Bombyx mori: one gene and its partner. The protein of the gene in region 1 interacts with the protein of each later gene in a biochemical or structural test. Links are inferred from orthologs where the notes say so. Each region holds a gene or a part of one and is shown on either strand. Other genes may lie near its edges.

The links.
Region 2: of the proteins of mitogen-activated protein kinase kinase kinase 7 (region 1) and tab1, one has a biochemical effect on the other in vitro, tested with the Homo sapiens proteins (4 studies listed by BioGRID and IntAct). The link is inferred for Bombyx mori from reciprocal best matches to the Homo sapiens genes MAP3K7 and TAB1.

Annotation. Positions count from the first base shown.
Region 1 is NC_085109.1:9,466,798-9,471,328, reverse strand, and holds the start of mitogen-activated protein kinase kinase kinase 7, read left to right. Parts: upstream 1-1,441; 5' UTR 1,442-1,645; coding exon 1,646-1,738; intron 1,739-1,818; coding exon 1,819-2,118; intron 2,119-2,233; coding exon 2,234-2,413; intron 2,414-2,996; coding exon 2,997-3,132; intron 3,133-3,721; coding exon 3,722-3,822; intron 3,823-4,292; coding exon 4,293-4,531. UniProt on the Homo sapiens protein: Serine/threonine kinase which acts as an essential component of the MAP kinase signal transduction pathway. Plays an important role in the cascades of cellular responses evoked by changes in the environment.
Region 2 is NC_085132.1:1,622,655-1,627,084, reverse strand, and holds the start of tab1 (tak1), read left to right. Parts: upstream 1-1,439; 5' UTR 1,440-1,886; coding exon 1,887-2,023; intron 2,024-2,544; coding exon 2,545-2,676; intron 2,677-3,276; coding exon 3,277-3,382; intron 3,383-3,708; coding exon 3,709-3,820; intron 3,821-4,430. UniProt on the Homo sapiens protein: Key adapter protein that plays an essential role in JNK and NF-kappa-B activation and proinflammatory cytokines production in response to stimulation with TLRs and cytokines.

The DNA of each region.
Region 1 (4,531 bases):
CAATATTTTCGCCAACTCTCCCCTTAAATCTTATGCTGATTTTTGTGGTAGAGAGTGCTGTAAGCACGCACGGGTCCTTATCATCATTCTGCCTGTTTCTCTGGCAAAACTGTTTTTATCTATATATCATAGCTAAATCGTAAGTTATTCCAATGCCAATTTTGCAGCATTTACTTATATAGGCAGACTACCAAATGGCGCAAGAGTAATTTTTAAAGTATGGAAGGGTTGCGATTTCTTCAAAGACCCTACTGCATAACGATTTGACCTAGACCGCTGCGTTTTATGAGTGCAAGTACGACCAGAGGAAAATCTTTTTCCTAAGGAAGACCCCCGTTTTAGAAGCCAATTTAGCTTTACTTACTCCCTTAAACCGGCGAAATTAAAATTCGATAATGACTCAATATACTAACTGCATTAATTTTAAATATTGAAATTGAGGTGTCTTGAACCTTAATTTCATCTTTAAGGTGTGAGACCTCCACGGTCTCAAATATTAACTGCTTCGTACTTTAACATCATACCTACATATCAGAGAAACAACTCTAGGTTTTTAGTATTTCTAACCAAGAGATGAATGGATCTAGGAGCTCCCAGATATGGGGAGCGGTACATATGGCGCAGAACCGGACCGAGTGGAGAAGATTGACATACAGTCACGATCCTCAGCATTGAGGGAACGACCAAAAAGAAGGAGCTCCCAGATACAACTGTCTTCGCCTTCAATGTGACTCGCAGACGGTAAAAACTGTAAATAAACTGTAAGCTATAGCCAATCTGGAACAACACAGGCTCGAAATGTAGAAGATTTTATATAATGACTAGCTGACCCGGCAAACATTGTTTTGCCATATATAAGATTTCTAGGGAATTTCTAGGGTAGAAAAAAAAACTAACTTATTGTAAGTGTGTAAGGATGTGGTAAATGAGTGAAAGAGGTATGTAGTGCTGTGAACGATGAGGGAATATATAATAAAATAACAAAACCTCATTCAACCACATAATACCTCATTATAACAAAAAAAAAAGTCCAAATAAAAAATAAAATGTTAGGGGTGGACAACACTAATCACTTAGGGGTATGAAAAATAGATAGTAGCCGATTCTCAGGCTTACTGAATATGCATAAAAAATTTCATGAGAATCGGTCAAGCGGTTTCGGAGGAGTATGGGAACGAACATTGTGACACGAGAATTTTATATATTAGATGAGGATAAAAACAACCATTAAACAGGAAAATATATTTTAAAAAATGGTCATAACTAATATACCTACTAATCCGGGAGAAATAAACATCTCATTCTCAGAAAAAAACTTAAATAATTAATTAATTTGGCATATTATTCTTATTAATTAAATGCTATTTCTGTACTCAAAGTGTAAAAACCACAGTTTTTTTGTAAATCCTACCGATAGATCAATGTCAACAATGAGCTCGGCACATCTCTATCGAAATATGACATTTGTTCTACAGTTTCAAAGATGGCGGCCTTGTCGCAGTTGCTTTTTTCTGCCAAACAATACTGAAGAAATTGAGTTAACCAACTATTTTTACCAATTTATAAAGAAAACTTATTAGTTTGTAACACATAAGGCTTGTATAATCTTTCTAGTCATATTGATAATGTGATAATAAGTGTACCAATGGCTTCCAATAGTTCCAATGTGCAAGACTCGCCAGTTCATCAGCAGACGTTTGTGGAGGAGATTGATTACAGTGAAATACAGGAGCTTTCGGTAAATATTTGGACACAGATACGTTTTGACAAAATCAAAGTTTTTAATAGCATGTTCTGAGATTCTTAAAAATTCGACAGGTCGTAGGGAAAGGGGCCTTCGGTGTTGTCTGGAAGGGTGTATGGCGGAACAGATTTGTAGCGGTAAAGCACATAAATTCAGAGGCGGAGAAACGTGAATTTGCGATCGAGGTACGCCAGTTATCTCGCGTATGTCACCCAAACATTGTGCGATTGTACGGAGCGTGCACGCGGGGTGCTCACGTATGCCTCGTCATGGAGTATGCAGAAGGTGGCTCTCTCTATAATGTACTACACAACCGACCCAAACCCAAATACACAGCAGCACATGCAATGAGCTGGGCCCGCCAGTGCGCTGAGGTAATAATTTACTATTGATCATCAAAATACAAAAGCCAGTGTATTATATTAAGTATTATCTTAAATACAAAATTATTTTTAATTGTGCAATGGATTAAAAATACCATTGTTTTAGGGTGTAGCATACCTTCACTCCATGAAACCAAAACCATTAATACACAGGGATTTAAAACCACCCAATCTATTATTAGTGGGTGGAGGGCAACGCCTGAAGATTTGTGATTTTGGCACAGCAGCTGATAAGGCAACATACATGACGAATAATAAAGGCAGTGCTGCTTGGATGGCTCCTGAGGTTTGTATTCCAAAAACAGTGTAATGCAATAATAGAACTTTACTACTAAACTATATGTATAAACTAAACTTGACTATAAATAATTAAGATCATTATAATGACGATGAAAATGAAATAACTATTATTTTGTGTTTGTTACTTTTTCTGCTTCATTCAGTTTTATAATATTATTACCAGCATCTAATAGTATTTTAAAATTATAAGGACAAACATTATCTTTGAAAAAGAGTACGGAAAATAAAATCAATATTTACTTTTATAACTTTTTTATAAAAATAAAAGCCACAATGAAACTTAATTGCATGGATTATAAAAGGAAAAACTTTAAAGTACTAATAGTTATTGAAACCAAACCAAAATAACTTGAATTTCATTGTGTGTAATAAGATAAGGTGAAATTACAAATTACTCAGCAAATTGTTTAGCGTATAGAAATATTTTAAGCTTAGCTGAATTTAAAATTTAAATCATTATGCTTTTAAATATTATTTAACCACAATGCCTTATATTAGATAGAAGAAATAAATGAATAGGAAGATTATAATTCAAAGCTTTTAAAACATTACTGTTTAATGTTTTTCAGGTATTTGAAGGATCAACATACACAGAAAAATGTGATGTGTTCTCATGGGGGATAATACTGTGGGAGGTATTATCTAGGAGGAAACCATTTGAAGAAGGTGGTTCTGCATATAGAATAATGTGGGCGGTGCATACAGGTTTGATCTGTTATTTAAATTGTTATTTAGTGAAGATACAATAGTTGATCGTTGATTAGATATTATGGTAAAACTTACTAATTTTCATCCAATATGCTTATTATGACAAAAAAATTCGTGCTATTAAATTTTAAGAAATCTATTATGGTTGCGAACAAGTTTCGATTGACTGTGTGTTAAAAATTTCACACTTGCTTGATTATAAAGTGGATCAAACTGAGAATCACATCTCGAAGCGTACTGTCATAATTGGGTCACCTATCATAATTGGTTACTCTTGCTTATGGAAATGAAGAGTTCAGTGCTACTATCCTAACCTGCTACTAAGACCCTGTATTTATGTGTGTGTGTGAAAACAGGATAAACTTTAAGAAAAAAGATCTTAATGGAAAATCTCTACATCACAATAGAAATTGTGGTTAATAACCTAAGTGTAGAAAATAGGGATATGACCAAAAAATTTTTTCAAGACAAAAAAATTACTATTGTTGACTTGTGTGTATTTATCACAATCATTTTAATATTTAGGGTAATTGAATTAATAATATGCTGATGCCTGAATTTCAGTTACATAACTGTGAATTTTCAGGTCAAAGACCAAATCTAATAGAGGGATGCCCGGAGCCAATAGAGCAGCTGATGACACAATGTTGGCACAAAATACCAGCACAAAGACCAAGCATGGCCAAGGTATGTTTCATTTTAACTATTAATTGCTCTCAAGGTGCAACCTTTTGAACTGAGCAGTTTGGCTGTCTTTTAAATTTTACTTCATCAAATATTAAACAGTAAAGAGTCAGAATTCAGCTTTCACATGAAGCTATTTTATAAGTGAGACTATTATTTATAAAATCATGTATTACAGTTACGTTTGGATTGCATTTTACAAACATCTTACAAACAGAATTACCAAAACGAAAATGTAACTGAACTTTGTGCATGTGTCACAAAAAAAATCATGTTATGTGGCTACCAAAACCTATAGACATTACAATGTGAATGCTGCCATGCAGCTTGTGGTGTATATGTCTCAATTGAATGGCAGTTACACAAATTATAATTCTCGTGGGCTTACTTTTAAATGTCTATTTTTTTTTATATTCATCTACTAACATTTTAGGGTATTTATCAAACACTGATATACTTGAAACTTTTTTCAGGTAACGGAAATAATGTCAGCACTATGCGAGTTCTTTCCGGGTGCTGACACGCCGATAAACTACGACGACTGCGAGGTGGACGACTCAGAGTGTTCGGAGGATGAGTGTGGCTCTCGAGACAGCCTCGACACTGACACAGAACACGATATACTGTCTCAAGTACACATCCCCACTCAGTACCCCGACCATAGCACCTCCGACCCCGTACTCAGGAACATCGACACCCCGTTACAGCCGTC
Region 2 (4,430 bases), on another chromosome or scaffold:
ATCGATAAAAATATGTGAACAGAAAATATTTTTGAAATTATGCAGGCCTATTTCCGAGGGACATAAGAAAGAACTGCTAAATCATTTTTGGTTCCGAAGTAATATTCGTAGGACTGATTTTTAAGACGAAAACAATAATGAGATTTCGACAGGAATCCTGCTATAATATAAGTATTTTTTTTATTGATAGGATAGGTAGATAAGCTCACGGCCCGCCTCGTGATAAGAAGTCACCAGTTTGCTTAGTGCGAGTTTTTTAACGTTCTCGACAGCGTAAAAGTGAACTCAATTCTGTATGCAGTTGGAACAGTGCCCCTAGCGGCAAACGTAGGCAAACGATCCCATTCTATACAAATATGAGCTAACTTTTACGCTATCGAGAACGTTATAAAACTCGCACTAAGCACACAGAGCCGGGCGGAGCTCTTAACAAGTTTCAACTTTAACAGTACGACGGCCGAGCCTCCTATGAGGTATCCGCGGCTATGGAGCACGCGGGGTATATGAGAATTGATGGTCTGCAGATGTTGGAGGCAGGCTGCGGGCTCAAGGATATATCTAGGACTCTACTACACCAAACGACTCCCCTTGCACTCTCACACCCGACGTCCGATTTCCGCCCGGGGTCAGAACTCGGTCAAACTAGGGGGACTCTCGCGGTCAATACTACGACCAGGACCTCGCTGGGTCAGATCCGGCCTGCAGGAACGCGATACACCGCCGACACGGGCAGGGTTATGCGAACATACGTCCTAGAAATTACGTAAATCATAATTTTTACGGATTTTTAGTTTTATTGCACGATGTTATTCCGTCACCGTGGAACCATCTTACACCGTCTTACATGGACATTTCGTGTGATACGATAAGATATTTTATTAGAAAAATTGGTACCTGCCTGTGGGATTCGAACACCGGTCTCATCGCTCTGTCTTGATGATTAATTACTAACTATGAAATCATCGTGGCTTAAAAATTAAATGAAGGCATCATCAACACGAAAAAAATACTATGCATTATCAGCCTTAATGGATAAAAAATTAGCTGACGTTCAGAGTTAATGGTCTCATTACAGTCCCTTAATATTTACTTTGTCCTTTCTTATTATCACTAACCAAGGCGTGGGACTTGCCTTCAAATACGGTTTGACATGCCAGTTTTCTATTAGTACTGTACTATCTCAAATGTACCGTATGTTTGATGAGTAAAAAAAAACAAAAACTGGGCTGGACGTTAGTTAAGTGAACAAACGAACACTAAGTGGTAAAATATAGAAAAAAGATTTTCTTACATCTAATTTCTATGTTGTGGCAAAAATAAGAATTTAAGTTATAGTCAAACGATAGTTAACGACTATTTTTATTAAATTTCAATAGTGTTAGGAAAACTTCTGAACTCTAGAATTGTACTTTAAATTTTTGAACGAAAAAAATAAGTGTCATTAAAATAAAAATAGAAACTGCACAGAAGGGGCGACAGAAGGGTTGTTGAGTTTACGAACCTTCAGTTTTTGGGAATCGATTCGATTCCTGTCATTCGATTCAGTTTTACTTTTGCGAAGAAAATATAATAAATATTTTGTAAATATTAGCTGAACCTTTATGTCTAATATGTTAGGTACTTTCATTTATTTAACTTTGCCGTACAACTAGTGTAAAAATGAAAGTAAAATGATAAAGTGACAATATTAAGAACCGATTCAAAATTTAGCATTCTCTAAAACTAAAAAATCGTTTTGATGATTTAAGATGATCAAGTCTCAACTTGGTCTTAGCTCTATATTAAGAAATTTTGGTCATTTTTCAACAAAAGGTCTGTTTCATGAAATAAAAAATAAAAGTAATATTTGAGCTGTGAATTGAGGTGTTAGTGGTAAAAATAGCAATATGATAGCAAGACCGTGGACTGACGATCTTCCGAAGTGCAGGAATACGTGTGTAGCTTCGTATTTTTCAAAGCTCGGAGGACACTCAAATGCTAACGATGATTATTTATGTTTTTTCTGTCAAACAGAGGATAACTTGTAAGTTTAATTTATCATAACTTTTGTATATCTAACCATGTCACAATAGTATAGGGTTAAAAAAATACATTAAATTTGTCTCTGTCTTCATTGTGTCCAAGATAGAATTCATGACGGCAAATGTAACTATAGGTGAAGAAAAAACCCGGTCATTTAAATTTAGAAATACGTAGTTAAATTCCGAAGTTCATCAATTATTATTAAAGTTTTGTAAATAAACAAGAGCTTTTAATATCAACTTTCTCAAGTCAAAATGTTGCAAGTCCTCAACCCTGTTTTGTATTGCTGTTTCTGCAAAAAGCATCTTGCATCTGCATAGTGAATAAATGATATTACAAATACTCTTAAAAGATTTAGCAGTTGATATTATCCTTAATTTCTTTATTTAAATAAATGAAGAGCATTAAAAATAAGTTTGCATTTAAGTTTACCTTAATATAGAAAAAAAATATAAATTACACCAAAATTCGCTTCTTAATACAAATACAAACTTATAACTAAACTAAATGTTATTCTCATAGTTGTTTATATGGAGTATTTGAGCCACACAATGGTCTTGAAGCGGCCAGGCTTATCATGCAAAGAATGGCAGCTGAAATATTATTTCCACCACCCTCAGCCAACACAGATGAAGAGATACGAGACAGACTTAGGTAAAAACTATATATATATTTATCATAAATAAATAAGGGTGTATAAGAGAGATACTATTGTTGCTTTGGATTATGAAATATACTTTATACAAATAGGATAAAATATCAATTACTAGCTGACCCCGCAGACTTCGTAGTGCCTCAATCGATAAATAAAAGACCTAAAGTTTTGTATAAAATAAACTTAAAACAAACAAAAGGAATCTGTTCAACAGGGGAGGGGACACATCAAAGGAAAAACAAAATTGTCATTTTTATTTAATTCCGAGCATTTTCATGATATATATCTTCTATTTAAACCTTCTCTGGACTTCCACCAATAATTCAAGACCAAAATTAGCCAAATCGGTCAGCAATGAACAGCATTTTAGGTGGGTGGGCCATTTACCTTATGAATGTCCATGGGCCCCAGTAACCACTTAAGACCAGGTGGGCTGTGAGCTCATCCACCCATCTAAGCAATAAAAAAAAACAGCAATTCATTTTTATATATATATGGAAGATTTTGCAAATAAAATACACGCTGAGCAAATAGAGCGTAGATGGTATAAAAGATGGAACATGGGTCGAGATATTAATATTAATTCGTTTTATATATAGGAATGCCTTTGTGTCAGTTGAGAAAGCATACATTGAAAACTATGATGGAATGATAGCAGAGAGAACTAGTTTGCAATATCAGCTGCAGACTTCTAGTGAGACTCAGGTACTCATTTTGATTTCTTCTTTGTTTTGTATATACAAAAGATTAGAATGTACTGGCAGTTTCGATTATTCTTTTATATAACAACATTTAAGGTATATTAATCATAAAATACAAGGTATACTTTTACTTCATTTTCACACTGCCATTGTTCAAATGTACGGTAATATTAAAAAAATATAAAAATATTTAGGACAAAAGTCGACATATATAAATACAATTATTATCGTTATTAATAACCTTAAATTAAAATATTATATGCTAGAATGTGGATGTTTATGTTTTAGTGTCAGAGGATTTTTATCCAAGTGCTTTAATTTAAATTTCAGAATCGCCAAATTATATTGTCTCGCTTAAAAGAAATAGACCAGCATCTGTCCGGAGGTGCTACTGTGGTCGTAGCTTTAGTGCACAAAAATAAACTATTTGTTGCTAATGTTGGTGAGTGTTTTCTTATTAAATTCAGTAGTAATATTGTTATGTGGCTCCGAGATTCTATAAAATCATGTGAACCATACTGACTGTTGTAACTATACTGAGGACCTTAGAACTTATATCTGAATGTGGGTGGTGCATTTGCGTTGTAGATTTCTATGGGCTCCAGTAACCACTTACCACCAGGTGGGCTATGTATCCCACTGAGACATGAGTTGGGAGTCTTGTTGTATTACCAACCAAGGATGAATAAATGCACAGATTATTACCACTATCTATTACTTCTATCTATTATTCTAGACTATTGCTATCTTCTCTCATAAAAAATTATTAGCAAATATTAAATTCCATAATCAAACCATTTACTACCTCACAAGGACGCTCTTACTATCTTATACCTTTAAACGAGCAATTCTTGTATATTAATATATATGTATATAATCTGAATCTCGGAAACGGCTCCAACAATTTTCATAAAATTTAGTATACAGGGGATTTCGGGGGCGATAAATCGATCCAGCTACGATTTATTTTCAGAAAATGTTGTTTTGTTCGTGTTTTCAATAATCAACTTTAATTTATGACTCTTCTCGACATCTATTGGCGAATAATAATA